4 linked regions of the Arabidopsis thaliana genome follow. The protein of the gene in region 3 interacts with the protein of the main gene of each other region in a pairwise test. Each region holds a gene or a part of one and is shown on either strand. Other genes may lie near its edges. The genes, in order: NPC3, AT2G41190, PIN4 and AT1G25510.

What was found.
Region 1: the proteins of PIN4 (region 3) and NPC3 interact in a protein complementation assay, tested with the Arabidopsis thaliana proteins (one large-scale study listed by BioGRID).
Region 2: the proteins of PIN4 (region 3) and AT2G41190 interact in a protein complementation assay, tested with the Arabidopsis thaliana proteins (one large-scale study listed by BioGRID).
Region 4: the proteins of PIN4 (region 3) and AT1G25510 interact in a protein complementation assay, tested with the Arabidopsis thaliana proteins (one large-scale study listed by BioGRID).

What each region holds. Positions count from the first base shown.
Region 1 is NC_003074.8:835,360-843,138, forward strand, and holds NPC3 (non-specific phospholipase C3), read right to left. Parts: upstream 5,287-7,779; 5' UTR 5,153-5,286; coding exon 4,901-5,152; intron 4,742-4,900; coding exon 4,350-4,741; intron 3,729-4,349; coding exon 3,319-3,728; intron 3,206-3,318; coding exon 3,035-3,205; coding exon of another isoform or gene 3,000-3,034; exon of another isoform or gene 2,960-2,999; coding exon 2,613-2,959; 3' UTR 2,446-2,612; downstream 1-2,445. Other genes in the region: AT3G03510 (Phototropic-responsive NPH3 family protein), read left to right, coding at 981-2,348; NPC4 (non-specific phospholipase C4), read right to left, coding at 7,327-7,718. UniProt on the Arabidopsis thaliana protein: Possesses specific phosphatase activity toward lysophosphatidic acid (LPA) in vitro. Does not show phospholipase C activity. May play a role in signal transduction and storage lipid synthesis.
Region 2 is NC_003071.7:17,165,234-17,173,318, forward strand, and holds AT2G41190 (Transmembrane amino acid transporter family protein), read right to left. Parts: upstream 5,327-8,085; 5' UTR 4,913-5,326; coding exon 4,698-4,912; intron 4,594-4,697; coding exon 4,343-4,593; intron 4,275-4,342; coding exon 4,060-4,274; intron 3,958-4,059; coding exon 3,934-3,957; intron 3,833-3,933; coding exon 3,652-3,832; intron 3,559-3,651; coding exon 3,339-3,558; intron 3,247-3,338; coding exon 3,111-3,246; intron 3,011-3,110; coding exon 2,845-3,010; coding exon of another isoform or gene 2,741-2,844; coding exon 2,697-2,740; intron 2,599-2,696; coding exon 2,536-2,598; intron 2,424-2,535; coding exon 2,328-2,423; 3' UTR 2,046-2,327; downstream 1-2,045. Other genes in the region: SIB2 (VQ motif-containing protein), read left to right, coding at 9-434; AT2G41200 (uncharacterized protein), read left to right, coding at 6,424-6,445, 6,551-6,689, 6,963-7,035, 7,445-7,696.
Region 3 is NC_003071.7:178,598-187,116, forward strand, and holds PIN4 (Auxin efflux carrier family protein), read right to left. Parts: upstream 5,168-8,519; 5' UTR 4,603-5,167; coding exon 3,408-4,602; intron 3,251-3,407; coding exon 2,983-3,250; intron 2,844-2,982; coding exon 2,758-2,843; coding exon of another isoform or gene 2,747-2,757; exon of another isoform or gene 2,381-2,746; coding exon 2,223-2,380; intron 2,129-2,222; coding exon 2,052-2,128; intron 1,948-2,051; coding exon 1,881-1,947; 3' UTR 1,436-1,880; downstream 1-1,435. UniProt on the Arabidopsis thaliana protein: Acts as a component of the auxin efflux carrier. Plays a role in generating a sink for auxin into columella cells. Maintains the endogenous auxin gradient, which is essential for correct root patterning.
Region 4 is NC_003070.9:8,956,778-8,963,956, forward strand, and holds AT1G25510 (Eukaryotic aspartyl protease family protein), read right to left. Parts: upstream 4,407-7,179; 5' UTR 4,047-4,406; coding exon 2,595-4,046; 3' UTR 2,310-2,594; downstream 1-2,309. Other genes in the region: AT1G25500 (Plasma-membrane choline transporter family protein), read right to left, coding at 88-545, 951-1,016; AT1G25520 (Uncharacterized protein family (UPF0016)), read left to right, coding at 5,547-5,564, 5,655-5,723, 6,041-6,100, 6,187-6,234, 6,320-6,411, 6,491-6,527, 6,610-6,657, 6,741-6,809 and 3 more.

The sequences.
Region 1 (7,779 bases), on a different chromosome or scaffold from region 3:
GCAAAAGTTAGCCACTTCAAAATTTGGCCTTACTGATGTTAGAATTCTTCAAGTTGCTAGCATAGTGGCATCTGCTATCAACTAAACCGGAGGTTGTTTGGTTTATGTTGTTGTGGCCGAACATTGAATTTGTCATTTCGTTATTTTATTTTTTATAATCTTTTATTTCCTTTTCGTTAATTAAAAAAATTAGTAATAGTAGAATATGATTTATTAATAATTTACCCAGTCATCTTGTATTATTCAGTCAAAAGGTTTTTAGTCCTGTATTTTTTTATAAATATATTTTATTGAATAAGATTTATTTATAATTTACCCAGTCATATCGCTAAAGGAAGCGTTTCGATATTTTACATTTTCTTTGAGAAATCCCACAATATCATAACAATAATTCCTAAATCTCAGCAAGAACCACACTCTTTCTTCTAACGTCTCTTTTTATCTCTTTTTTTTCCTTTTAACTTTTGATTTAATCTTCAGTATTGAGGAATGCTTTTTGTCTTCTTGTTCTCTGGTTGCAGAACCCCGTCAAACACAAGCTTCTGTTCCTTGGACAACAAGTTACAACCACAAACTAGTGTTCGCAAACATATACAATCTATTCATTCAGTAGAAAGGCTAGTACAAAATGTCAAATAGATATTCGAAGAACCCATCGAACCAGTAAAACTCTTAATCTCTTCCATTTCGTGTTAATTTTCTGTGAAATATGTATTAAACCTAATGTTAATCGTTTGTAGAAATTCAAAGTCACAAGATCTTGACCTCTATGTGAAAGGCGTTCATTTTCATCTTAACAAAGTAAGCTTTTGAATCCGATTTCGCTGAGATTTATCTCTTTTTGTGGTTTCTTCTGATTTCGAGGGTTTCGATATTTGGTGTTGGTGTTTGGTTAGGAGACTTTAGCTAAGAGATCGGCGAAAGTGACGACATTACTCGAGAGTAACAAGCTCCATGAACTGCGTTGGATCATCAGAGACATGGACATCAACCCAAGTATCTTCCACCTCGTGACTAGATTCTGTTATGGATACAAAATCGAATTATCAGCTGACAATATCGTCTCTGTGTTATGCATTGCTTATTACCTAGAGATGAGCGATGATCATAGCTCTAACAACTTGTTGAACAAGGCAGTTACGTTCTTGGAACAACGAGTTCTTATGAGCTGGAGTGAGACCGTGAAAGCTCTTTGTATCTGCAGCGATAAGATTTTGGACAAACTAGCTAATGTTGGACTCATCGAAGTTTTCTTAGATTCTCTTATCGAAAAGGCTCTCAACGATACTAGGTTGCTCCAAGATTTGATTACATTACCACTTCGGTTATATGAACCATTGATTCTAGAAGTGAGTAAGCACAATGTCTCGTTAGAAAACCTTGTGGCCTCTGTCTGCAATTACGCGAATAGATGGGTTTTCGAGAAAGATTCGGGAGACGGAAGCGTTTCAAGAAACAAGAGAGAAGGAATTGAAGCTGTTGAGAGGCTTTTGCCTCACCAAAGAGGAACAATCTCGTCTGGATTTCTGTTCAAATCGCTGAAAGAATCGATTTTTCTTGGTGCTTGCTCTGATTGCCGAAAAGGGTTTGAAGTTAGGATAAGTAACCAGCTTGACATGGCTAGAGCAAAAGATCTCCAGATTCTGTCACCAACAGAAGATGGATCTTATGACATCGAGCTCTTGAAAACCATTCTCAAGAGCTTCTATAGTAACGATAGTGTCCCGGATCTTTCGCGGTTTGTGAGTGTAGCGAGAATGTTGGAAGAGTTTCTGTTGGAGGCTGCTGCGAGTGATGCTGGTTTAAGGGTAGGAACATTCAAGGAACTAGCAGAAATTGCAGTTGCTGCGTCTTGTGATGTGCTGAGTTACTCTGATGGAATATACAGAGCGATTGATGTTTACTTGGAGAGGCATAGAGACTTGATTGAATCGGAGAAGATGGAAGCTTGTAGGTTTCTTCATTGTAAGAAACTTTCACCCGAGGCTTGTGAACATGCTTCAAAGAACGAGAAGCTTCCATTGAGGATTGTTATGCAAGTTTTGTTTGTTTCTCAGATGCAGATTCGGGATAAGGTGGCTAGAGAAATGAAAGGTGTAGTGGAGAGAACAGAAAATCAAGTAGATGAAGTGGAGAGTATGAGTAAGAAGTTGTTAAAGCTCGAGATAGAACCTGATTACATGAAGAAAAGAAAGATTGAGAATCTTGAATGTGTTGTTCATTGCGAGAAGAAGAAGACAAGTGTGTGGAGAGAAGTAAAGAGGAAGTTTGGTTGTATGACTTCTTCTACCATGGATGCTTGCAGTTGTCATATCAAGAAGAGGAAGACTTATCATAGCTACAAATAACAAAGGATCACTCTTTTGTTTTGTTAGAATTTGCTTTTTGTTCAATTTAAATTCCTCTGTTCTGTTCTGTTTTTGCTCTGTTTTGTTGAACCCTTCGTTAAAATACTCTGTTTTTCGCGGAGGTACCTCTCCTAATGAACCTCATTCGGAAATGTAAAACATAAAATTTGGAAAACAAACAAATATCAAATTTCAAACGCTCTTCACATAAAATCCGAGAAATACACCAAATCTCACAGAGATCAAATCTGTTTCAACTCAAGATCAATTATCACAAATCAAACACGAGAATAACTTCTGAACAAAAGACTTAGGAGTCGAGTGACGAGTAGATCCTTTAGAAAGATCAACGATCTCATGCTCATCACGGCCTTCTTCTTTAGCCTTCTTGGACTCACCATGGAATCTAGTGAAAGCTTCTTCTACGTACCTAGCCGCATCCAAAACCTTCATTTTATCTGCGAGCTTAAACGGGTAAATGTCTTTGATATGATCTCCTTTTAGTACAGCCGCTGCTTGAATCAGTTCGATTTGAAAATCAGTGAGATCTTCGTCTTCTTCTTGTGTTCCAATGTCTATGTCTCTTGCCCTAGGAAGTTCCGGTAATGTGACTGTGTAATAATCCAAAAACTCATTAAACATATATTGCGTTTAATATGGACTATATAACCAACTATATATTTTACCGGGGCAGTCCGTCCTTGGGCTGGTCCGGTTGATGACAGCATCGAGTGTTCCAGCCCATTCGTCACGCTTTGTAAGAAAGCTCTTGAGGTTGAATATTTTCTTCAGTGTTGCCGGAATTGATGAATGTTCGAACTGCGACGTTGGCTCTGGTCCATTTGGCTCGTGTAACACTAAAAAATAATGTCATCACCAGTAAATTATTATAACCGGTTTTGACCAACATGACAATACCACACTAAAGTCTAAACTAACACAACTCGGTTCCAATTCAAAACATACGTACCCGTTCCAGGTTCGATCCAAGGCGAGATTAGCAAAGCAGGAACCCTAACACCAAGCCGGTCAAACTTAAAGTTATAGGGCTCAGGTCCAACTAGACCATCAGGATTTGGGACACCAATGACTGGAGTAGGGACGTGGTCATAATAACCACCATGTTCATCATAAACAACAACGAAGAGAATCTCGTTCCACTGAGGACTAGCTCTTAAGGCTTCGTAGATTTCTTTGACTAGATTTTGGCCTTCAACGACGTCGTTTTTGGGATGGTCATCATTAGCTGGAGCCGACAAAATCTTGAAGTACCTTGGTTCTATAACCACATAGTTTGGAAGCTTCCCTTCTTTGCAATGCCTCTTGAAGCTTAAGTGGTATTGATGGAAGTTGTCCACGTACTTCAGTTTCCTCATGTTCCTAATTTAAATATGAGTCTTAGCGATTAAGTTATTACATTTTACACTAATCACTTTTAATGAGTATTAAAAAAGTATTAACTAAACGTAAATTTTTTCCGTGGACAGTTGGACACATGCAAAAACCTAATCGAATCTCTCTCTGTCATCCGAAAGGTTAAAAATCAAATATCAAGATTAGTAATCCCGTTAATAAACCAAAATATTTCTAGAAATCATTTTCTTCTTCTTTTTTCTTATAATTCAAAAATATTCCAAGCAACTACTCCACTTTCTTATAAACAACAAATAGAAAGATTTCAGGCATGTGGCAAATACCTAGGACATGCTCATTACAGGAAGCTTTTTCAACAATAAAATAAAATAAAACTCAATCATGGAGAATTTAAATTCATTTTCTTTATGTTTCAATTAAGTAGACATTGCAATCCAGGTGTCATCACCTTCTTTTTTTTTAAGATGTCACTACAATTCATCGGTTCATCATTATCTACCATATGTTTTTTCTTAAAACATATATTCGTATTCGATTTTTTCCTACACTAAAATCATAATTCGTAACTTTGAATTTTACTTTTCTAATTATATGAAATTTAAAACAAAAAGAAATACCAATTATTACCTGTAAAAGAGGCAATTAGGAAAGGATTGGTAATAAATTCCAAATGTGAAACCGCTCTCTTCAAGTGATTCGAACACTGTCCTCTGAGGAAAGCCACGAACAAGCGTGTTAGTGTCATTACTAAACGCACCGTTTGATGTCGCCGCGTGGACGTAGAGTCGGTTAGGCTGCGTGGACGAGGGCAACGACGAGAACCACCGATCGCAGACAGCGAATTCTTGAACTAGTTCCTTGAATACCGGAAGTTTCTCCGGCGGAAAACCTTGCATCACTACTTTCTCCGACATCCCTTTTGTTATCGCCTCTGCGTTTTGTACGAACCCGTTCATCTTCGGATCCGGGTACGGACTCTCGTCGCTGAATGGTTTTCCAAACACTTGTTCGTAGATCGCCTGAAATTCAATGATCGTCGATAAACCACTCTATCAATTTCCCGGTTTAGATCCCGAACCGAATTATTTAAGAAGATATTTATGGTTCAGTAGACCGGTTAAGAAGTGTATATTTCTATACAAAATTAACGATGATTTGGAACTAAACCGGAGTTGTACCTGAAAAGAGTGACCGGGATCAGGATCAATGTTCTGAGATTCTTTGCCGAAGAAGATTTGAGCAGAGTTCGGGTCAGATGTAGAAAGTGGGTTGGATCTTGGTTCGGATTCGGATACTCCATCGATTTCTGGGTTAAGCTCCTTGAACCAACCTAACATGTGATCGAACGACCTGTTCTCCTGAACCAAAACGACGATGGTTTTGATCGGAGAAGCCGATGAGCCACCACCAGAGCTCGTTTCCTCCACCATACTTCTTTTACTTTTTTAGAACAGAAATTTTGACTTGTGTAGTTGTTTTCCCTCTCTGTCTATCTCTCATAATTAGCTGTGTCCGTCTAAATGGTAGCCTTATTATATACTGGTAACTAAACGATGTGTATTTAATTTATTTTATATGATTAGTAAATCACATAAATGGTATAGTCTTAAACTTTTACATGTATATGATTGTTTGCAAAACTCTTGGGCCCGGGAGTGTATTCAATCTTCTATTTTGAATGATTTAAGTTATTTTAAATTTTTATATAATTTTGAAGAATTTGGGTGAATTTAAGGAAGTTGTTATGATTTATTATAAAATTTTCTCAAAATTTACCTAAAATCATGAGACTTAAAATTCTGTATTTTTTAATTAAGGAAATTCACTAAAATTCATTTAAGTCTCTTAAAATTATTAAATCTAATTTTTAAAATATTTTTAATAAAAAAAAATTAATGTAGATTTTAAAATCACAAATTTAATAACATTAGATTTCATAAAACTTTTAAAAATCTATAATTAATAACATTAGATCTATTATTTTAACACAAAAACACTTAAATATTTGATTGAATACACCTTGTTTCATTTTTTGTTGTCACCTTAAAAACTCTGCCTCAAGATTAAAAAACTATTTTTCTATATACTATCAATCATATACATTCGAATCAACTCAGTGATCTTTGCATATAAATAAAACATAGACGGTGAATTTTGGATATCGTCACATTTGTTTACTCTCACGTTCGGTGAGGTGGCAGAAGAAATTACTCATCTTTTATTTAGTGCATATGAAAAACGTTCTCCAAAATGAAAGTTTATATAGATACAAGTGCTTCTCATAACTATTTCTACGGTTCTACCATTAGTCCATTATTATAAGAAAATTAATAAGGTTATTGGCGATATACATTGAATATTATTACTTATTAATCTCTCTATCTATGAAAATAACAATGGAGTAGATTGAATTAGGTGTTGACCAATTATTATTGCTAAAACCATAGTCTATAGCACGTCTCCGCATGAGTCGTTTTAAATAGAGTTTTTCCTCAGGGAAAAAACTAACCATACATTCGTTGATTACTGTGTACTAACTAATGTTTAAATAGCGTAACTAATAATATGTGGTATTATGACAGAATGTTGCATACATACGGTGTTAGTTAGTACAGTATTTCTTATAATCATTACAATTAAAATTTGGGACCCAGTAGCTAGATTGGTTGCCTTTAGTGACTTTAATTAGTTTTTAGTCTTTTGGTATAATCTACTCACCAATCGAATAATTAAAGTAGATCTCATCTAAGATATAATTGCTTTTATACACAAGAAGATTAAATATACAACTTTTACAACAACAACAAAAAAAGACGATTAAATATACAAATAATCGTGTAAGTTCTTCTACGACAAAAATAATTTCCACATACACAGACAAATTACTACAAGTTGTTCGAATGTGATTGTGCTAGTATGACATGATCATCATCATCATCATACACGCAAAAAACGATGTCGTCCTTATCATATCCTCTTTCACTTGCTTTCTAGACTCCTCTAGAAACTTCTCAAACGCATTTGTAATGTAATAGGAAGCATCTGCAACACAAGTTTCTTAACGTAATATGGACTCTAGGAGGGGTGACAACTGCACTTTCTTCTCAACCTGAATCGTGACAGGGTTGTGATGCTACAATGAATCAGAGACTTAGAATTGATCAAAAGTCTTATGGGAGTTATGCTTGAAAATTCAAATTCAATAATTGTACATGATGAGTCGGGGTAAGAACGATAGTGGAAAGGAACACACGAAATCTTTAAATGTTTATTTCAGTCATGGTATGAAAAATTTGAATCTAATCGCATATAATTACATATGTAAATAATATCTCTCATTATTAGTTCATTTTAGTCAATTTAATATAGCTGTTGACAAGAAAAAATGAAAAACAAATAACTAGTTAGAGTAGATCTCATCTAACATATAATTTTTATACAAGAATATCAAATGTGCAAATAATTGTGGAAGTTCTTATACAACGAAATTAAATATGCAAGAGACTAGTAAGGTTTTCTTTTTTTTTGTCTTAAATAAATTCCACCCACACACAAGAGAAGTGACTACAAATTATTATTATAACATTTATTCTCTTAGTCTCTTTCAATCATGGCGAATAAAGCAAGAGAATAACTTATTGAAAAAAGACGTTTGCGTTTTTGGTTGAGCAGCAGCATTTGATGCTTCTGAATGTGATTGTGGTGGTATCACAACATGATCATCATCATCATCAACGCAATAAACGATGTCGTTCTCATCACATCCTCTATCTCTTGCCTTTCTTGACTCTTCCAGAAACTTCTCAAACGCATTTGTAACGTATTTGGATGCATCTGCAACGCAAGTTTCTTTACATAGCTTGTGGATTAATTCTTCGTTTTTGTAGTCTCCTTTTAATCCCGCAGCCATTATAACGAGATCTTCTTGAAATTCGCTTAATTGTGCATTTTCTTTTGCCATTGTCCCTCTTAGTTTAATCGGAGTTGATAATGTTTCTATTTAAAGAAAAAAAACTGAAGTTTTAGTCGATATTATCCTACCTAAATTGATAGAGAA
Region 2 (8,085 bases), about 17 Mb from region 3:
TAAAGAAGATGGATCAGTCATCATCAACGTTGCTCATAAACCAGAGAAAGTCATCATCGTCTCCGACTAGGATCCCACCTAAGCAGAAGAGGAAGTCAACGACTACGCACAAACCCATCAAAGTCCGTTACATATCAAATCCGATGAGAGTCGAGACTTGTCCTTCTAAGTTCAGAGAGCTTGTTCAAGAACTCACCGGTCAAGACGCCGCTGATCTACCACCGTCGCCCACCACTTTTACCGCCGTAGATCTCCACCGTCCGTGTGAGTCGGAGATGAACTTAGAGCCGTTGGATGGAGAGGTCCGTGGAGAGTATTATTCACCGTTGGATGAGGAAGTGTTTAATGCTCCTCAGATGTCGGCAGGTCTTTCTGGTTTTTTCTCGTCTGGATTTTACAATGTTAACGCTTTAGGAAGCATTGGTTCTCTCTGAATTTTAAACTATGAATGTTTTGTTTCGGCACTGAAACACCGATCACGAAGAATAAACCATCTATAGTTTTAGGGTTTTCATCAAAACCTATATATGGATATATTACATATATAGTTTTTTTTCTCGCGAATTATTTACGTTTGTGAGTATATATAGAAATCTTTCATTTGTTTGTGGTTTTTTTATTTTATAATAATAATCAAACCGTATTAGTTTTAGTTGGGTTTATTGGTGTAGTTATGTAATAATTAACCTCAAAATCCCAATTTGGTGGTAGTGATTTTGTGATCAGTTTAATCTCTGGTGTAAATGATCACAAACGGAAAAGAAATAATAATCCATATAGAGCTTTTAAGTTATCACGGACTTTAGTTGAACATTTGGATAGATGTATGATGTATCCCTTTTGTTTTTTAGGATGACCCCATCTCTGTATAATAGACGCAATAATACATTTATATTTTGGAAATTTGGAATGAATGATAGAAGAGTTTTGTTATTTTCTTATCATTTATTAATCACATTATTTTATATTTACAATCTACAAACACACTATCTTATGGAAATATTCGTTTGATACAAACAACATTTAATGAAAACAACAACTTATTTCGTACGAAATGTTTATCGTATAGTTGACTATTGTGATATCTTAAATTGTAGAAATATTCAACGCTTCACAATTTTTAAATTCCTCTAGAATTGTGATTTGTGAGCTATGGTTCGATGTAAAGAGAAGAAGAAAAAAAACCTGAACGATTTATGAGATAGCCATTTTCAATTCAAAAATATTTTGTTCTAAACACATGAGTTAGCATTCGCTTGGAACAATCTTATCTTCTGAGGTTTGTTTGACTAAAAAGATGACTAATGTTTTGACGCTTGTTTCGCACGGCCAATAGACCGACTCCTTTCAATTTCAATTGTCAGCAAGAACTGACACATTAATATATAATTTATTTTCTATATGTTTACTTTCTGTTTGTGATCTCTATGTTTACTTGTCACCATCTATCATATTATTACTGGTTAAGAAAACTAATTTATTATCGACTTAATGTACCTTATAGTCAATAAAGGTATATGAACCAACCAATTCCATATACATAGAGAAAACTAATATGATTTTTCTTCCTTAAGTTTCGCTGTAAATTTTTGTCAATGGTTAAGAAAAAAAAAGTAAAAAAACAATTGTATATAAGAATGTTTTTAGGGAGCATTAAAACACTTTAGCAGGACCGACAAACCTCAAGTCTCGTAATTTTCCTTCCACCTTGTTAAGTCGGTGATGACGAGACGGGAGATATTTGGGTCACTAAATGGCCGATACTAATTAATACAATATCGTTCAACAGAATTATGTCAATCTTAACCTTGTAAAAACTGTTTTTTTTTCCTCTAACTTCTTTCCCGTTGGGTTTGCCTATATTTTCGATAAATTGAGTAAATTTCACTGTTAACTAGTCGTCTATTTTCCTCCTGTGTTAAATAGTTGTGACCCGATAATCAAATTGTGACACTCAAAAAAGCAGATTTTTGAACATCATGAGAACCAAATTTTAAATTTTTTGTTTTACATATCTATCTTTTGAGGTTAACACCTCCTTGTTTATTTGTGTTGTTAATACTTATTATTAATGCCTTTATCAAATAGGCGAGCTCATTATACCCAAATCTAAACATGAGAAAGATGCTCAGAAAAATGAAGAGATAGTAGATACACAAAAATACAAAAGCAAATGTGACACCTATGAGAAAGTAAACCTTTCACTAGTTTTATTAACTTTCAAGTCCAAAATAATCTTTCATAATCAAGAGTTTATTAGCTTCAACAAAAACATTCAACTCAAAGTACAGGGGATAAACTATGGGTCTCTTTGTCATGGAGTTCCTTCACTGATAGTTCCTAATGATCTTTGCCACCGAAGAATATGTCCCCAAGGTCCCGCTTACCACCCCGATGGCCACAATGATCGAACTCAGAATCATCTGTAGTACACAACTCAGTGTTAATCTTAAGAATCCAAATACAGAAACTCATCATCCCATAATAATTTCAAGAAATTGATAACAGGACAACAACAAGGCTCAATTTATATACCTGTGTTCTTGTTGCTTTGTTCCCCATTATCTTTATGAAGCATAAAGCTGGCATTATTATTGCCTGAACCATACATACATTTATGTAAAACTGTTTTGAGTGTCACATTTTTTGAAAACAATAATGTTCTTAAGATATTAAAGAGGATGATGGAAACTAACCACTAGTATACTGAGAAGAGATCCTATAAGAGCCATCATAAGACCTGTGTGGAAAATAAAACCAATTGCAAAAAAAGACCATTAAGGAGCAAATCTAGTAAAACGACACACGAGTGAGTTCTCAACCTTTCTAGCTTAATGTTCTTACCAAAAAATGGAATAAGGAAAGCAGAACAAACAGAAGAAGCGACGAGTGCTGTTCTTAGAAGAAGAAAGCACCATATGTTCTCTGACATTCTTTCCGGTAATAGTTCTTCTATACTCCTTGCAAGTGGATTCATCAGGAGAGCGTATTTTGTAAACGGACTCACAACCTGAGAAAAGGAGAAAACAGAACCAAGATGAAGTTTTAGTGTAAAATGGAACTTCCAAAGATTATGGAGAGAAAAATAAAAACTGGTTTTGTTTTCTAACCGTTGTCCACTGTGCCACTTTTGAGAAAAATTGGTCCTGTGGCATGTTTAGTGTAATCTGAGACAAGGTAGCTTCTCCAAACATGAGATAACCCATGATTGCAACTCCTCCGTATAACAAAACACATATAATGAAACTGCAATGTAGCAACAAAACAAAAATTGTTGGTTTCAGAATTGGATTATTAAACATCAAAAGCTAATATAAGAGTAAAGTTTTTGGTTTTACCAAGTGATCACTGCTTTGTTGAATTTGGTTTTATCAGCCATGGATTGGTATATATTTGGGAACACTGAATGTCCTGAATAGCAAAACCCGTATATACCAATTGCAAACGGTATCCCGTTCCATTTCACAGCCTGCCCGGTGTGATGAAACCCAATCCCGCCCGTTGTACCGAGGAAAAACACGCTTACTGCTATCAAAGCGGTTGCGATAACTCCACCGGCTATAGAACCAAAGAAAAACAAGTGAACTGATTCAATATTCTTGACGAAAGAATTCAATCATATGAAGAAAACAAAAATGCAGTTGATTGTACCTGAGAGGTAGGAAATGATGCGTAGATCTTTCAACCAAACAGTTGGAAGAACAATGAGAGCAGTTAAGATTCCAAATAAATGCTTAGAGTCAAGTCGGAACCCGAGCAAATCCAAGGATGTACCAGGGAAAAGCCCGGTAAGGTTATCTCCTTCCAAAATGATGAATTCAACACAATATGACTACAGAAAGTGGACAGCGAATCTAGTAAGTTTAAATTATAGAGACAGAAACAAGCTCTAGATCCATGAGTAAAATTCGGCTACAAAAAATCTTCACTTACATATAGTTCTGTGTACAATAGCATCTGCACAAAAGACACATAACATTGCAGAAACCATAAGCAACTGAAAACAGAACAACTGATCAAAATAATCAAAAGGAAGATAAAATCTATGGAACCACTTACACAGATAAGAATACGACCATATTTGCCAAAAGCTGCTTCTCCAATATCAGGATAAGTGATAATGCCGGTCTTGTTCTCGAAACAGTCTTTCATTAAAGTAGCAGTGTAACAACAAATAACAGCAAATAAGAGAAGAATTACCATACTTGCCCAACCAGCTTCTTTCACTGTATAAGGTGTTGAGAGAAGTCCAACTCCAGCCATTACATTAATAGCTGCAACCAATATAGAGTTACACATGTTTTCTTAATTAGGCCAAGAATCATAATCAGTTTTTAGTTACCATTGAAAATGGTTTGAATGACGCTGCATCCATAGCCACCAATGGGCAATTCCTCAGCAAATGAGCCTTTATGAGACCAAGCAGATTGTGTAGCTGAGGCTTTGTCTGAATCATCATGCCTCTCAGGAAGCAAAGGTGCTTTTGACTCAACATCTAAATTACTTCTGCTGGCTCTATAGAAACTCGGAGGATTACTCCTGAGCGACCCGAAGATTGGTGATGCCGCAATCGTATAAGAATCAGTCGTTTCCCTAAAAGAACCACAAAACTTGTCAATGTTTCATCACAAAATCTCAAATAACAAAACTTTATGAGATGGGTTACAAGGAAAGTTTCGAGCTTTACAATTAATTACCTGAAGCTTTGAGGCCATTGAACCTGGGAAATGAAAGGTTCATCGATGTCGTCGTCACGATCAACAGCATCACCAGGAAGATCTCCGAGATCGCTTTGATCAGTTTCACTGTCGTTCTCGTACTTACTGCTGTTGTCTTCTAGATCTTCGTTATCTTCGTCATCTTCGAACGTAACGTCGGTTTTTTTCTCCTTATCATTGTTCTTGTCCTCCATATTTCGAACAAACCCAAGTAAGAATAGATCTAGAGAGTATCAAGAACCTTAGAGGATTAAATCTCACCGAAAAAGGAAAAAAAAAGATCAAATCTTTATGATTGATTTTGGTTACAGAGTGGGTTCGAGAACTTTGCAGAGAGGTGGCAAAAGACTAATAAGGAAAGCTGAGTGTCTGAGCACAAAATGTCCGTTTTTTTTTAATCAAGAATTTTACTTTTTCGAGGATTTGTGTGATTTGATTGCTCTTGTTCTCCGTCTCTCTCTGTTCGCGAGAGTTGATTGCCCCTAGTTATAAGGCGGGAAAATAGTGACGTGGCGGTGATGATAGAGACTAGAGGAAAGAGATCAAAGTTGAGAAGCAATGTTTTTAGACTTTTGATCGACGACAAGTGTTGCGTTGAGATGGTTCGATATATTGATCCCTCGTAGGGATGTGTTGCCGTAGCCGGGATCACTAGGACTTGGAAAGTTATATGTTCTAGTATTCTCCAAAAATTTAAAATAAATATTCAAAACATAGAATAATTTATAAATGCCTAGAATATTAAGAAATATATAAAGTTTCAATATTATGGAAAAATCATGTTTCTTGTAAAATATATAAAACGGTTTTTAGCCTATTGACAAAAAGAATTCATAACGCTTAGTTCCAATGATATCTATTGACAAAAGGAATTCATAACCTTTCTCTCTTTATTTCTTTCACGTTTAAGATATAAATGGCGAATGATACCATGAATGTTGCTGGATTCTTAAGCTTATTCTACCTTTTTTTTTTTTCATAGGCTTAGTACTTACTTAAACTCATTTGTTGTTCTAAATCTAAGTGTCTCGCAAGAGTCCAAAGAAGGAGATGGGAGTGACTCAAGGTCGACGAGGGAATGGGGTGTAAATGTAATCGTGTTAGTGAACATAGAAATACATTATCTCTATGTGGTGACATGTGAATTTTCTCCAAGTGTCAAACTTCCATATGCTCATTAACAATCCAATAATTTAAGCTTTTTGACAAAATTGTATTTTTTTTGGTCAATTATCTCCAATGTGGTTTTAAACAAAGATATATATTAAATAAAGATTTACATGCCTTTTCCACCTTGATATTTTGCAAATCATGAGAATCTCTTCCTTTTAATGTTGCCAGTTATATAGGTTAAAAACATATTTGCATTTCAAAAGGAATATTAAAAAAACTTAATTGTTCTGCTACATTTTGGCTTTCAAAAGTCATATTGTGAGTCTAAAACTATTAAACTGTAAACAAAGGAAAATAAAATAGTATTTATATGCTATATGTAAAATATGAAATGAATAGACTCACACTTTTTCTCTAGATCCTTAAGTTAAACTGTCACGCTTCCGGTACGTGGCTTATCGATCAGGAAATGCCAAGATACTGATCCCACCTCACAAGTCACAAGTCACGGTCTCCAAAATTTATTTCTCAATATTATCCTTCAAATTTGTTACGATATGCAAAAAAACAAGAAGAAGGAAGTTATCACAATATGGGTCAAGCTCTCAATACCGGTTCGTCCTTTCTCTTTCTCCCCCAAAATCACGTCTTTCATTGATGTTCACTTCATTAATAAAATTATCATTTTTTTGTTTGGTATACTTAATTATGGAACGAAGCAAAAGGTAAAGGAGAGGTAGACGCGAAAGACTTGGAAGCTATGGCTGAAAATTGCTACCGCAAACGCTTAGAAGAAAAAAATGACGATCAAGAATGGTCCTTTGGCGACTTCTACCGCATTGTGGCTGAAGCAGTCGAGTAAAATTCTTTTACTTGTTAAGTGTTATAATGAAACCAATATGAGTCGGAAAGGATTAGATTTGGTTATTAAACCATTTTCAATAACGATTTTCTTTCGAGTTTTTGAGACAAATTATTTAATGCTCATGGGCGGTTTATAAGTCAATGATTTAAGAAATAAAAATAAACGATAAAGACTCGAGCCATATAGTCGGCACCATGATATTATGATTATGGTAATGATATTTACATGTGATGTGATATTCGTATTTTATGTATTTGGTGCGACAGGGAAATTAACAGAAGACTCGGTGGCACTCAACTTAAGGTGCCAAGTGTTGAGAAACTACAACAAGCTTATGAGGTATTAAATTCTTTCAATTTCTATTCTTCATTATATAAGTTTAATGACACTTCTTTTGATTTGATAAAATTAGGTAAGGAATTTGTAAACATTTGGTCTCTTAACCTTTTCTAAATTTAATAACACGAAAAGAATATTAAAAATGAAATATATACTTGAGCAAAACATAATTTATACCTAGCGATTAGCGAATATGATAAGTATTGTTATGCAACGATAAACATTAAAAAATAACTTCAACGCTTTTGCCCAAATCTAAGTCTCTGTTACATAGAGAGGCTTAGACTTGGTTTACTATAAACCAAAATAAGATTTTACAATTGAATCACAATGTTTTAACCAATTGGTTTAATTACTGGGATCAAAGATTTATCATCTTCTTCGTCTCTTATACTTTTGAAACGAGCAGATACACAATCTCGGGCAGGGGAAGAAGCTATCGAAGGACGAGTTTCAGAAGCTTCTTCAAGAGGTTTTAATCGGAGTTGGGTTCACCGGCGTCGGAGGAGTAAAGGAATTTCTACTTTTCATCTTCGGAGTTCCTGCGATCGCCGTCTTCATTAAGAACCGTATAGCTCCGACGTCCGTTCCCAACGACTTGTTTATCCCCGCCATCACTTCCGCCACCGTCTTCCTCCTCGCCAAGCTCAATAAGATATGAAGTCTCTACTAATTGTTTGATCCTTTCGAGCTTTGCTTTGTTTGCTAAATTTGTATTGGTGATTTGATTATATGTGTTTGATACACGGAGAAGCTTAAAGTTTCACTCTTTGAGTTCATTTACTAGATTGATGAAAAGGAAAAAAAAATGAACTTATGTTGTTCGACAGAATGCCTCAACGAGTTTAACTCTGTTTTTTTCAGTGATTTTAACTAACGAACTTATTCGTCTAAATTGGTCCATATTTTAAAATATGAAATAAATGTCTTTGTGCTAGAGGGAAGCAAGGAGATGCTAAATATAGAGAATTCGAGGGTCTTGCTTGTTTCTCTAAATTTCAAGGCTTTCATTGGTTTGAGGATATGAACGAGTCCTTTCTTTGAATGACA
Region 3 (8,519 bases):
AGTGAAACGTGACGTCTATGGGTAAAATATTCTTGATTTGATTAGTAAATTTATCGAAACAGTAACTAAGAGTTAACGATTTATAGTCACAATTAAATCAGTTAAAGGAATAGCCAGCTGCTACTTTCAAAGTGAATGCATGATCGAAGTTGTTCAGTTTTGAAGGAATGAAAAAAACTTTTTGGTGATATTATCGATACTATGTGGGAATATGATAAACACAATATTTTGACTGTTGATTAGTTCCACGAAAATATGATAAACTCAACATTTTGACTGTTGATTAGTTCCACGAAGATATACATGTTGATATAATCGAAAATGTGGTCCATGTTGTTATAATACTTTGATGCTCGAATTTTGATGTTCGAAACACACGTGGGAAGTTTTTCTTTTTCCATAAAAGTTTGAACTCTATAGGTTTAAAAATGTATAGTTCAAAACGAATCCTTTAGAATTTCCCAAAATAAAAGAACTCACAACTTCTATGGGCATATAGATAAGAATAAGAATATCGGGGCATGTGTGTAAACGAGTAACACAACAAGTTTTACTTGCAAAAGATATAATATGGCAACTTTTGTCGTCAAGTGAAATGCGTCGTCGCTTTCGGGCGAAGCCTGCATGTTGGTCCATCTTAGATTTTGCATTCCATTGAATTTTCTTCACATCCACTCTCCCATTAGTTTTGATGTTAGTTTCGGAATATTTGCTTTGTTTTCTATATAGTATATTGATGCCTCGTTAAATTACTACTTGTTGGATGAGTAATCATACCGTATTTGAATGACCAATCCTAATACGAAAATCAGATGATCAATTCATAACATTAAAAATGTTTGAAAAATGAGATTCACACTACTTTGACATTATAAAGACTACGTTTGATAGTCTCGGGACCATTTTTTCTATAAAGGGTGGTCTTTAGATTCATGTGCGGAAGTTCACAGAATTTGAAGTTAACATAAACTTTTTGAGATTTTTTTCTGCTAGAGATCGTGTATTCTTAAAAAAACGGGACCGTAAACATGCATCGTATGATCATAGGATTAATTAATTAGAGATTAGGATTTTGCTTCTGTCGTAAAACAGTGTTTGTTATCAAGGAATATGCTTAAATTAACTGTAATAAAATAAAATTACTGTCTTTTGAAACTTTTGCTTCTGACTGTTCAGACCTGATTTCTATCATTGACAATCAAGACGATTGACCGACATTCGCAGCGGAATTGGCATCCTATCGCTCCTTAGTTTGTTTTTTCCTTTCTTTCCGTATTAGATTTTTTTCTCGTAGTTTTAACACTCGAACTGATTGTTTAGCTAAAAAAGCTCGGGGTAGAAATAATATTTTCTCCTATGTAAGCATAATGGTTCATGAATGGCTCTCTCTAGCGGAGAATCTCTTCCCGATGAATTAATATTAATGGTATTTGTGGAAAAAATAAATCAGTACGAGGGTGTATATATATAGTATAGGACTATTTCAATCCAACTCATAAGCTAGTTTCAGTATAAACCACTTAACTAGAAACTTCAATTAATAAAAAAAGGTGCATATTACATATCTGCTTAGCCAAAATCTACACATAAATTAACAAAAACAGAAAATGAAAAAATAAAGGTAAGGAAGAGAGATTTTTTCTTCTTGGCGTCTAATGAAGACAAGATCCTTAATCCATTCAAGTCTTGTTCACTAAATCCTAAGTACTTTTGTTGTGTTCCACAAATATTGGAACCAAAAACCAAAGGCATATCTTCTTCTTCACCTTCCACTCTTTCCCACGAAAAATAAAGGCTTTGCTTATTTCCTCGTTACCGAGAAATAAATAGCCCAATCTCCGAGGCTCTCTCAAAAGCCAGTTGATACTGAAGGGACCAATTCAAAGGCCAAGAAGAATATAGTAGACCAGAGTTATAGGTAAGGCTATTAACATTCCAAATATGACCCTGCATCCATATTTTTCACCATCATTCACACATTTGTTAATATATTGTAAGTTTGTAACAAAAATAAAAATGTGGCTGTAACATAAAATAAGTTTGGAACTTACCCAGTGCTTAGAATCGTGGGATGCACATTGTACTCTTTTGCAAACACAAACGGAACTATTCCTTGAGGCAACGCAGCCTAATAATTCATGCATTCATCAACATCATCATCGTGATCATGTAATATTTATAATAGACCTAGCTATATCATGTAACGTTATAAATTTGTATACCTGAACGATGGCTATACGGAGAAGGTCGCCGTGTAAGCCAATGGCAATCCCAGCAACAGCCATGATGGCCGGACCGGTTATAAATCTGACCGCCATGGCAAACGTGGCGACAGAGTTCCCACAAGCAATGATTTTGGGTTGAAGTGCCATGAATAAACCTTAAAATTACACCAAAAATAAGCAATTCATTAACTAAAAGGATTTGAGAAAATTGACAGCAAAGAGTTAGGTCATCTACTTGGTGAGACCCAAATAAGTAGACAGAGCCAGTGGGGACTCGGCGTGGGGACCGGACACACCAACATGTCTGGGTCAGAGGGTCAGGATTCTCTCTTTGGGTAAGTGCTTTGTACAGTTTATATGACTTTTACCAATTACAAGCTGGACAACTACGACTAATTAAACACACAGACCCACTTTGCATTAAATGAATCTTTTTTAACAGATAAGATGAGAACAAATTTGAACCCAACTTTAAAGATTAGATCATCATCAAAACAAGTCTAGATTTGCATGAAGCAAGGTTAGTGTTTACCTAAGCTGAACATAGCCATTCCAAGACCAGCATCTGAGAGTATGGAGATGGATTGTTGTAATATTTTGGGCATAGCCACATGCCACCTGCTTCCAAAAACAACCCATACTCATTATTAGTTCCCACTACAATTATTCCATGCATAGATGATTATATTATTTCCTTTTCTTATTATAACATTTATCCATAAAATCTGTAAGTAAGAAAATGATTGGACTCACTGACCGGTAAGCAACAAGAGCCCATATGAGACCGATTAGACTGGAGTACGTGTTTGGGTTTCTGATCAGCTTTCTCCACACCATTATCAATATCAGTCGTGTCATCACACTTGTCGGCGGCATATGTGTTCCGTTGTTGCCGCCGCCATCTCCACCAGCCGCCTCTAGCTCCGCCGTGGAATTAGACCCCATTTTATTCAGCCCTGCTGTAGCTTTCTCTATCTCTCTTTCTCCCTCTCCACTATCAAGACCGCCGATATCATCACCACCACCTGAGAAAACCAAAAATCATGAATACATACAAAAATAATAGTATTCGAATAATAATAAAATTAAACCAACAAACCTCTAGCATATTATTTATGTAAACAATTTTCCGCAATTTTAGCTAAATAATATTTGATGACAAAAAAAAAAAAAAAAAAGAACCTCTAGCATTACTCTTTCGAGGTTGATCAGAGACAACCATCCGAATCTCCTTAGCACCTTGTTCAGATTGTTCCGTTGCCACGTTGTCGCCTGCACCTCCGCCAAACACGTCGGAGACCGGAGAAGCGCTTGAGCTCCAAACAAACATGTGAAGCTCCTTAGCGTCATGGCTCGCTTTGCTATCTTTCTCTTGCAGTTGCTGTTGGTTTTCTTTAGGAATTTTATTCGGTTTAGTTGAAACACCCGTACCGGTTGAAAACTCCGGGTTCGGAGCCGGGTACGAACCGGCCGCCGGAACAGAACTGTTAGTGTTATTGTAAAATCCATATTTAACGGCGTTGTTCTCTTCGAAGTTCGAAGGCCGTGGAGTCGGACCACGAGAAGATTGAACGGAGTACAAATCCGCCGGACCAAAATTCGAAAGCCTCCCGCCGGGAAACCCCATAACAGAGTAAAAATCAGAATGGTTAAAGTTAGAACCTCTCGGAGTCGAACTAAGACTATAGATCTCAGCTCCGGTAAGATTCGAAGGCCGTGGAGTCATCATCAGTGACCGTCTCGATGCGTTTGATTTCCTCACGGTAACATGAAGCTTCCCGTCGTTTCCTATCTCAGCATCCGTCTCAAGAAAATCATGACCGTCGAGAGAAACGACGTCGGATTCAACTTTAAACGAAACAATAGACGCACCAGTCTCCGGGAACTGCTCCATAATAAGAAGCTTAGCGCCACGGTACTCGAAGAGGAAGAGAAGGAGAGTGTACCAAATGATACACTGAAGAACAACGACTTGGACCATTAGAGAACCTGCGTAGGTTCCGTACATGGCGATCAACAGAGGGATCCCCATGACAAGAGTGTTTGGGAGAGTGCTGAGAGAGAAGATTGTGATCATCCACTCCAAGCTACCGTTCTTGGTTAGGTTAGCCCATAGAGCAAGTAAGACGAGCATGATGATTTTTTGAAGCGTGTCGGCGGCGACGAAGCGGAAATTCATGGCGTAAGGATCGTTGGTGGAGATGAAGTGGAAGGAGAGGAGAGGGACGGCGAAGATAGCGACGAAGCGGTTGATGCCGGAGCACTGGTCTGGTGAGAATATCTTCCACCACTGTACGGATCCGTAGGCGAGAATCATAGCTACGTAAAGTGGTACCACGGCGGTGAGGACGGTGTACAAGTCGTGCCACGTAATCATTTTTTCCGGTGGGTTTTGGAGTTTAGTGAGAAGACAGTGGCATTTGAGGGGGAATTAGAAGGAAGAAGAGGGGTAGAATGGGAAGAATAATAAAGAAACCGTTAAGAGAGAAAAGTACAGTAATGATTTACAAGGATTCGGTGAAGAGGACTAATTTATAGAGGTTTTTGAGGCAGTGACAGTGTCATCATCATCATCAGCACACGATTACGTTTTTTAAGTTTGATTAATAATTTGATTTAAAATGGCTTTGTGTGTAGTTGAGTGGGGACACGTGGCAAATCGCATGTGGGGGGAGTTTTCTGGAGGGACGTGGACAGTTTTATGGAATAGTCGTGCTTTTTTGCTACTATCTTATTACGAAAAAGTGGTCTTGTTTTTGCACTTTTTGAAAGTTGCAAAAGGAACTTTGGCGAATACTACGAATTACTGTATCTGTGATCGTTTTTCTTGTAAATGTAATTTGAGTTTTGATTCCAAATAGAATCAAACTATTGTCTACGTACTTGGTACAAGAAGACAGCCACATAAAAATTACAAGAAGAACAAATGTCATTAGTGTTAGGTCCAAGCCACTGTTGGACCGTTGAATTAATTACACACATTTATTCCCTTTTCAAAAATTCTCACTTGCTATGACTAGAATAATATTTTGTTTTTTGTTTTTGTTTTGTTAAACTTGTAAATATCATTAAAAATAAAATTTGAGGTATTACAAAAAAAATATTACTTATAGTTACTTATATTACAAAAAGTATTTACAAGCTCACATCTCGTCATTTTCTCACTCTTAAAATTTTACTCTCCCTTATCTCTAAAACTTCAGCCGCCGCCTGCGTTTAGGGTTACCGGTTCCGGTGGCTTTCTCAGCACCGGAACCGAAGTCTTTTGTTTTGCTCTTATTCTATCTTTTTTCTTTAGACACATCTGAGAGATTTTTTTCCAACGGTTGTGAATCTGAATTTTCAGATCTAGATATTTAAAGTCTAAAACTTTTTCTTTTTAGGTTTTTGCTGTTTGTCTTTTGTCTTTTTCAAGAACAGAGTCAGATCTGGCCGATCCATCCAAGGCAGAAGCGTTTCTATCCAAATTTTCGCCTCAGACTTCTGAAATTCCACCTGAAGATCCCGATCTCGTTCTCTCCTTCATGAGGCTCTCACTCCTTTGGGTCTCTGGATGATGGTTTTATCTCATCGCCCATTCGTGTTTAGGTTGAGTTAAGTGAGGCTTCTAGTCTCAGATCTATCAGTTTATCATTGTTGTTTTAGACTTTGTATATTTCGTTTGAACTCTTGGATTTTGGGTCTGGGAAGTACTTGATCAGATGTGATGTAATTTGTTAGATCGGTTTTTTTCCCCTTTGTTTCATTTAAATATGTTTTTAGTTCCTGGAAGGTCCCATGTACTCTCCGGCTTTTAGAAGAGTGTTTCTCTTGTCAGCTCTTGTACTCAGATCTTCTATCAATGAAATCTATATTTCCAGTGAAAAAAAAAATAGTTATAGATAGATGTTGGTCTGAGACTCTCCGACTCATTAGACCATCCTCATCGAATAATTTTTCATAGATGTATTTCATATAAAATAATATTAAAGGTATAGATGTCTTAAATGTTTTAGGAAGATATAATTTTCATTTTAATGACCCTCATATTTTTTATTTGTTTTACTCTTTTATATTTAAAAATAGCCATCTAAAAACACTCATAAAAATAACCAATGTGGATACTCTTAAATCAGTTTGGACATAACCAACAAAAAGGAAAGAATAAAGAAGTAGGTGGTCGCAAAATCACTAGGATTTGATAGATTCAAGCAGAAACTAAAAGGAGCGAGATTTCTGGGAAATATCAGAGAAGCAGACGAGGTCAAGTCCTATAAATCTGATGGAGAGTAATGTATAGAGGCATCAATTGTACACTAGAAAATCCCTAATATTACTTACTCATCTAGCTCTAAGAAGTAAGAACATCTCAGCGAAATCTTTGTAACTTTATTTCGGTATATAAAAGTCCAGTTTGATTCTTAAAATTGTGATCATGTTTGATTCGATGGAGGACTAGTTATGCGATCTTGCATCCACAATAGAGTAATATTGACCAGAAAGAAATTACAAACAAAGTTACAATAGTATGACATGGAAAAATACCAAATCCAAAGGATCATCAACGTTGGAATGTAAAAATTTTGATTTGTGTAACTCATAGTCATAGGATGTGTTCGAGGAGTGAATAATCTCCCATGCTTAATACTAGTATATATCTGGATGCGAAATTCGCAATTTTTTTATTTTTGTAGCGAAATGGTAAAAAGAGATTCAAAACATTCATCCAGCAATCACTTTAATTAATCCGAATGATTGCAAATGAAAATAGATTCTTTATTGAACACATATGTTTACAAAACAAGAATAGTATTTTTTTCTCATAAGCCTTCCGGAAAAAGTCTACTTCATCATAGAAAAATGAGAAAAATGATCAATGATCATCTATGAGATCAACGATCATAGATGGGATTTGTAACACAACAACACAATAACGGGTTTCATCAATTTTCAAGTCTACTTCATCATCCATCAAGACTTTGGTCTTTAAATATACAATGGAAGCAAATTAAAATGATCGTTCAAAAATCTTACAAACCAGGAAACATAGAAAAGTGAGAATGTGGAGATCAGTTCAATGATATTGTAACTATTGAAAAACGGTTTTTGATCGGCTTCACTATCTCCGAAGGCAACGTTCAACTTGTCTTCGAGCTCCCTGCAAGCCGTCTTGACCCGTGATCATTGATCTCAACATTTTCGATAAAATCAAACTTACATCGTAGCCGACTGAAGAAGTATGGCATCCGAATGAATTGGTAATAACAAATTATAGTTTTGTTTCTCTCCACAATATATATGTGTTATTGTAACAATGATTATTGCTTGGTAACCAAAATATATAGTCGTAAGAATATCATTCACATCTTTATCTACCAGACCTGTGATGTAGATAAACTTGCTCAAATTCAAAGGATCATGGATTAAGCACTTGAGTACTGTATATCATTTCCCGTCCAAGATCATATTATTATTATTCCGCCCGCATAAGACACTTCAATTATATGTCCAACCCAATCATGTCTGATCCATATATTTATTTTCTAGACAAATAGAGTTTGACCTAACACTACTTGATAGTTGATACGACCAATCAATAATCATGGGATATTGTTTAGGAGATTTGAGTATTTTCGGACGAGGGGGTATATTTGTTATAATTAACGACATATTTTCTAACACACACCTAATCACATGGCGAAGACTGAAGAAACGAGAGCACGAGTCACACTCACCATTAATCGTTTTTTTTGTTTGTTACATTAACTACAAATAAACTAGCATTCAAACACATATTATAGTATCAAGATTACGATGATATAAATAGAATTATAGACCCTTAGATAGAAACGTATCGAGTTTGGCGTACCTACAAGATCAATGCTCTTTTCATATATATATATGCTTATAATAATAAACATATGCATGTTCGTTCGTTACATGTAATATCTCGCAATGGATCAAATCTTATGGTAAGACACGATGATCTGGATTCTGGTCCCATGCAAAAGAAAAGATCACAGCTGTGATTTTCTCAAAACTCAAAAGAGCTAAAGCGTCCTTATTATTCCCTAAGCAGACGCTTGATGGTTTAACAAACCAATGAGCTAGAGGGGTATGTCTGATGTCTTGATCAAGTCTGGTGTCTCGAAATAAACACAAACTAGTTTTAGGCCTCGGCCAAATTTATTTGGTACCGGACCGAACCGAATTTAACTAAGAGGTACCAAACCACTGAACTAGTCGAAGGCCCAAGTTATGATGGGCCACTAAATTTAACGGCTACAGTGTTTCGCGTTCTTATGACTTAGATCA
Region 4 (7,179 bases), on a different chromosome or scaffold from region 3:
ACAACTCAAATCATCAGAACTAAAAAGTTGTTGCCATTTGACCATAGGGGTTCAGTCATAGTTCAACCAGTTCAACCTCGGACGCACCTGTCTATAACTGAAATAACATACAAGAACTGCAACAGAGATCCAACAGCGAATGCACCGCCCCAAAAGAACAGTCTGCACCAGAAACATAGTACACTAACTACAGCTAGATAGGTTGTTAAGATGTGAACCGAAACTTTCATCATCTCATTGGCGTAAGAGCCAAGCAGCAATGACCAAACCCAACTGATAAAGACTCCAATGCCACCAGCAACAGCATAGAGAGGCCAGTAATCCTCTGTTAGACCTTTATGATTCTCCAAGAACCCTTGAGTGTACCTATCGATGTTTAACCTATCTGATATTCTAAACCTATTGAGTCCAAGCACCGCGAGCACAAATCCCAAACAAATCAAGTGGATCACAAAGATGGCTGACCAGAATACATCATGCCAATGGCGGGACTCACGCACAACGGCTCGGTTTCCATCTCCACTCCTTCGACTCCGCTGAAGACTCTGCAAATCAAAATGAAAACATTGATTCATTCAAATTACATCATGGACGAGTCTGAGACCTACAAAAAGCTATGCTTTAACATAAGCAACGACTCTGAAACTTCATATCAGTACAATGCAAATACATAAAGTGATCAAACTCACACAAGACACATTTTCTATCAAAAAGAAAAAACTTTGCGACTGACCCGTGATTAAAGTTACAAAGCCAAAGTAACCAATCGCTCTTAACATGTAAGGAACAAATCCAGATATGAGTTCATCAAGATCACACTCGTAAAGGAAATGACTTTATGTTCTAAAAAGCAAAACCCAGAAAGGGATTCTCATAACAACTTCGCTTGTACAGAAATTATAAGAGAAAGAGATTCGTGCCCAGATCGAAATTGAGTAAGGGTGGAGAACCTGGTCGCCGGAGGAGATGGAGGCGTAATCAGAGGAAGGAGAGACGCTGTTAGTGGAGTCACTCATGATGGAGTAAGAAGAGAAGATTCACTCACTGACCAAAACCAAATTTCATGGAAGCATCTTTGAATAAATATCACAAGAGTTGAGAGAGAGAGAAGTGAGGGAGAATAGTCAATGAGAGGAAAAGAAAAGAAACGTGAATCAAAGAAGAAATATGAAAAACGATGAGAGAAGAGAGTGAGGCAAAGAAGTTTTGTCAGAGCGGTTCTTCTTCTTCTTCGTCTTCTTCCTTTTTATTGGATAAGCAGTGGTCGTTTTCAGATCACACTTTCTCCCTCCGTAACTATTCACGTTTTTTTCTTTTTAATTTTCCTATCACAAAATTATTTCTTTTCTTTTTTGGTTCGTTGCTTTATTTCTGTTTGTTATTTGGAAATGGACCTTTAATGCATATAACAGAAAAATTGCATATAGTTTTCTCAAACTTTATGTCAAAGTTTTTATAAATTCACCTACAAGGGAAGTGTGGTAAATGTTTGATATAAATTGTATTATATAATTATGTATTCTTCTTCTTTTTTTTGCTTGGACGTTGTTTAATGTACGTATGAATTGTATACCTCATTATTCAGATATTTAAAAGAACCGGTCAAAATCATCTATTGAATCTACGACTCTTTGTTTTTTCTGTCAACAAATATACCACTATTTTAATTGTGAAAATATTAACAAAAACATTGAATTTTATCCAGGTTTTTTGCTCTTATGGCATAAGTTTTATGTCTAGCATGAAACTGTAAAAGTAAGAGAATGTTTTTGGATGAACAAAGGAGAAAGTAAAAGGTTGACATATAAAAAGGAGAAAGGAAAATAAAGCTTTTTTTTAAGGACAAAATGATTGAACCCATAGCTGCCACTTCATATGTTGTGATGGCAAGTAGTGGCACCATGACTTCGCCACCTCTCTTTGTGCCATGTTTTTTTCTTTCTCTTTTGATAATATAAATCTCTGTGCCATGTTACTCTTTTAAAAAATACTGTTTACATAGAATGATTAGAGTTCATTAAACATATCCAATAGAATATCACCAGAGTTAATTTAGTTTTGTGTAAATTCATCTTCCATAAACATATCACTTTTTTCTTTGTTTCATATCAGTTAGTACTAGGGATTACACTTTCATGATCATAACTCATATAAGAGATTGTATTTTCAATCATTCGTTTCTTGGTTTACAAAGATTTTGTTATTTTGTATCACATCACATATTGTATTTGGGCTTAACTTCTTCGATCACACATTGTATTTGGGCTTTAACTCTCAACACTACGAGTATTCATGCGTCATAGAAAAGAAGGAGTCATTCATTCGTGTGTGATGTGACCTGTAACAAGGCCCCTCAAGATTCATTGTTCTACTCTTTAATCATAAAATTAGCAAAAACAAATTCCATCTTTTTTTTACTCTTTTTCACTCTATGCATTGCAACAACAAGTACAAGAAACAAACACAACCAAACAGTAGTACAGTACTCTAACTTAACATTACTATCTTTTAAGTGACTTTTCCTTTTCATTGTAACTCAAATATATTTATAGAAAAAACAGCTTAGCATTTTTGTTTTTTTTGATGAAAACAGCTTAGCATTTATTAGACGAGAATCCAATGAGAGAATTTGCCAAATCGAAAGTGACACGTGTCCCTTGTTGCTGCACGTTTCCGATAATCGCTAGTGAACTCGCCGTCGGTGCAAATGCCAAACAAAATGTCCCCACCGAGTCAACCGGAATCATGTAGTTCTTCGCCGGCAAAGCCAACATCTTCCCGCCGGGGAAATGAAAAGCCACGGTCGGGACTTCTACCGTCGTCTTAGCCGAAAGGTTATAACACGTGTCAAACATCGCCACCCCGGCTGCTTTTTCCAAGTCCAACGTTCCTTTCACGAACGAGTCTCTAAGCGAGTTATAGATTTCGGTCTGGAGACGAGTCACGGCGGTTCCTGAGTCGATGATGATCCCACCGCTGCCTGACTCGTCCATCTCGAAAGAAGACTGAGGAATCTGAAGCAACTCGCCGCCGACGCTTATTCCGGTGAGGCCTAGGTAGTAAAACGTGTCGAGCTGGTGGTTACGTAGCAACGGAGCCACGACGGCGTCAGGAGAAAGAGAAGTCCCGAAATCCACGGTCGAAGCCGAGTCTGAGTCACGGTCAACGAGACAGTACGAGAACGACGTCGTGTTGAGCTGCGACGGAAGAGCTAACAAACCACCGCCGAGTCCAAGTAAACCGGCGGCGCCGACGAACAACCCTTCGTTGCTGTGTCCACAACCAACGGCGACGTTTTGAACTAGAGTTGAGCCGATTGTGAGAGTCTCGGTGGCGAAATCTCCAACGGTGTAAGAACCATCACCGTAAGAAACCTCGTAAAGACACGTGGCGTTTCTACATTCTGAGACTTCAAGGGCATTGCACTGTGGAGTGTCACAAGAGAGAGGCTCGTAAGAAGAAGACGACGATGGCTCGAAGATTGGTTCGGTTTGGTGGTAACAGTCAGCGCAAGGAGTACATTGTAGCCAGTTCACGTCACTTCCAGTATCTAGAACCATATAAACTTCACGCGCCGGTTTTCCGATACCGACGCGTGTGAAGTACTCGCCACTTCCTTGAGTCGTGCCGGAGATTAAAGGAGCTTCGATATCTTGTTCCTCAGTGGTGTACATTGTGCTGATGGGTTTGAGATCTGCTTTGGATATGTTGTTGATGGCTAGATCTAAACGGGTTATGAGAGATTTGACTCGGGCTGTGTCACGGTTGAGTCTGGCTAGTGTGAGTGACTTATAGTCTGAGTGTTCAGTTCCTCGGACGGAAACTCGTGAATGAAGCTGCAAGCTGAAAGAAGAAGAAGCAGAGTGAGTCTGTTCTTCTTGCTGGTTTAACCGAAACGACGACGTATACTTGGTTCTGTGGATGGAGTCAGCGACATTGAGAATTGAGGTAGTGGTTGTGGAGGTCTCTGGTAAGATTCTGGAGAAAACAGAAGAGTGTGAAGTGAGGAAGAAGATGAAGAAGAAGAAGGAGTAGTTAGGAGACATTTTTTAGATTCCGACCGTTAACAGTGAAGAAGATGAAGTGAATGAGGTTTATTAAAGAGAAGACAAAAGTGTGTTTGGTGGGGAAGGGAAAATGAGACAAAAGCTTCTTTTAATTAAAACAAAGACAAGCTGTGTTTTGGGGGTTTGCAGATTTCGAGGAGATTTATATAAGTAAGTATCTCTTCTTGAAGAATTAATCCAAAGATTAGATAAATGGTTAAAGAGGAAGAGGAGGTTTCTTCATCCTCTTTAAGTGTGAGGATTTAAATAAACTTGTTTTATGATCTCAATGCGGTTAGTGTGGAGATTGTTGTTTTAGATTTTATTAAGTCAGCCACTTTTGAGTGTTTCACATCTTCGCACTTTGACAAATTTTATTTGGCTATGAGCTTAGCTTTGTTAATGATGACTTTCATTCAAATTATAACAGCTCACTTATTTCATTTTATCCAGACCTATGTCTATAAAGCTATATGATACTAAACAATTAACCTAAAAAGAAAGCTATAACTGTAAACCAATACATACATACGCAATCTGACAACAACAAAAAAACATACATATGCATATCATGTTAAGGTATTAACAATGTGGAGGAATTTGCTGACTTAAAAATGGTGAATTTATGGTCCCTCATGGGCCTGTGGGTAACTCTTATCTAGGCTTTTAACTTGGATGTTTGGGCCATTTCATACCCCAAGTCTACTACATTAACTCATTAACCTTGCTGCCTAAATCTAAACTATAAATTCTAAAATACACTTCTAATCTCAGCTTAACATGATATGCAGTTGAGATAGATAGAATATTGCCACCTGATTTTAGTTATTCATCAATTTTAGAATTAAATAAATTAATATTAATATAAGTACAGTTGGATCAAATCAAATATAATTACATACGTTTGCGAATCAATTCGCCACCAATCAGAAATCGGTCAATTTTTTTTTATTTGTATAAAATAGTAGGATAAAACGAAATAAAATTTAGTTGAGATAAGCGAAAAATACTAAAATACCCAATCAGTTTTGAGCATCTCTCAAAAACTTACGTGTTATACTATTCTAAACGTTACGTCTCAATCGTGATCGCGACAAGTTAGTTATCAAAGAAGTAAAAGTCTTTATTGTTTTGCTCGAGCAAGTGACGCAAGTCGCAAACAACAACACAAGGGAACAAATTAACATCTTCTAAACTCAAGTTGGGTTTTCTGGGTCCCACACATTAAAATCGTTGGTTGTTATCAATCCACGTGGTAAGATCTTAAGGGTTAAAGAATCAGAATCAAATTCACCTACAATCCCCAAAAAAAAAGGATTCATCTTTTAGCTCTTCAGCGAATGTTCGTCTCGTCTATTTGCTCTCTCTCGACGACTGTTAATTAACTCCGGCGATTGATCACTCCGTCTTCTTTGTAACACAGCCGGAGAAAAATCGAAAGTTTCGTTTTTTTCTTCTCCTTCGTAGCTAATTCGCCGTCGATTTTATAATTCGGCAGCCATGAGCTCGGTTTTGCAGGTAGAGTAAAAGATTAATGTTTTCTGGGGAGTAAACTCGTAAGAATCGTTGTGGAGCTAATCTGGGTTTATGATTGTTGGGGTTTTATAGGGTTTTACGAAGTCACTTGCTATGACCTTTGTATCGGAGATTGGTGACAAGACGTTTTTCGCTGCAGCAGTAAGTGTTTCGTCTCCTCTTCGCTTTAGTTTTAGATTTTGTTGCTTCATGTAATCTATTGAGGGTTTAAGGTCGATGAAGTCAATGGCTTTTACATGAATCGAAGTCTAAAGTCTTACTTATTGGATTGCCTTTTCCTGATTAAGAATCTAGATGGCATCTTTGGATCCTTTGTCTGTAGCTTTTATATTGCCATTCAGTTTCATAGTGTTTTGGTAGTTTAGAATCTGCCACAGGCTCTTTGAAGGTGTGTAAGATACTTCTGTTGTTATCTTGATTTTGCAAGCTTAAACTCTTTTTTTTTTTTGTCATATCAGATTTTGGCTATGCGTTATCCTAGGAGACTTGTGTTGGCTGGTTGTTTATCGGCTCTGATTGTAAGTTTTTCTGAATGCTTTGACCTATTGGTTTCAGTGACCTCTCTCCATAGATTTTGAAGCTTATGTCTTTGTTTAATTCTTAGGTTATGACTATCCTCTCTGCTACTCTTGGATGGGCTGCTCCTAATCTGGTATGGCTTCAACTTATTTTGTATTTCTACATAAGCCTTTTTTTCTTACTAAATAGTAAATACTGATTCAAACCCTCACCTTCAGATCTCTCGCAAATGGACTCATCACATAACAACATTGTTGTTCTTTGGTTTTGGGCTATGGTCTTTGTGGGACGGTTTCAAAGAAGGAGGAGGGTAATACTTCTTCATCATATTTTGTTGTCATAAGGATGATTTAATCCAAGATATTCAGATTATCTGACTTTGTTGGCAGGGGTTCGGAAGAATTGGCTGAAGTCGAAGCAGAACTGGTTTGTTTCTTCTTTCTGCATGTTCGCTCTCACGTTTAGATAAATGCTTTTGTGGCTTGACGTTCTTGTGTTTTAATTATAGGATGCTGATTTGAAGGCTAATGGTAAATCTCCAAAAGACAGTAGTAAGGTATTGAACCAAAACGACAAGATCAGAGACTGCAAGTGGAAATTGCCTGTGCTAAGTTTTCAAATCATTTGTTGTCCTTGTAGAGAGAAGATGAAAACAAAAAGCAGAATAGGGCGTTCCTCACGCAATTTTTCTCTCCAATTTTTCTCAAGGTAACTAAAACAGAATTTGCTCACAAAAGCAGTAGACTTTTCTGAACTAACTTCATATTTCCCCTCTCTACTTGCAGGCTTTTTCGATTAATTTCTTTGGAGAATGGGGTGACAAGAGTCAGGTAACTTTTACTTACTCGAATTGATTCAATCTTAAATGCTTCACATACTCACCATAACTCTCTTGTCTAGCTTGCTACAATTGGTTTAGCTGCAGATGAAAATCCATTTGGGGTGGTCCTTGGTGGAGTTGTGTAAGTTTCACTGCAAAACTGCTACAATCATTTTGTGTCTGCATCACAAAAGTAATATGTTTGAAGCGACGTTACTGACTAAATAGTATGCCTATACAGGGCACAGTTTTTGTGCA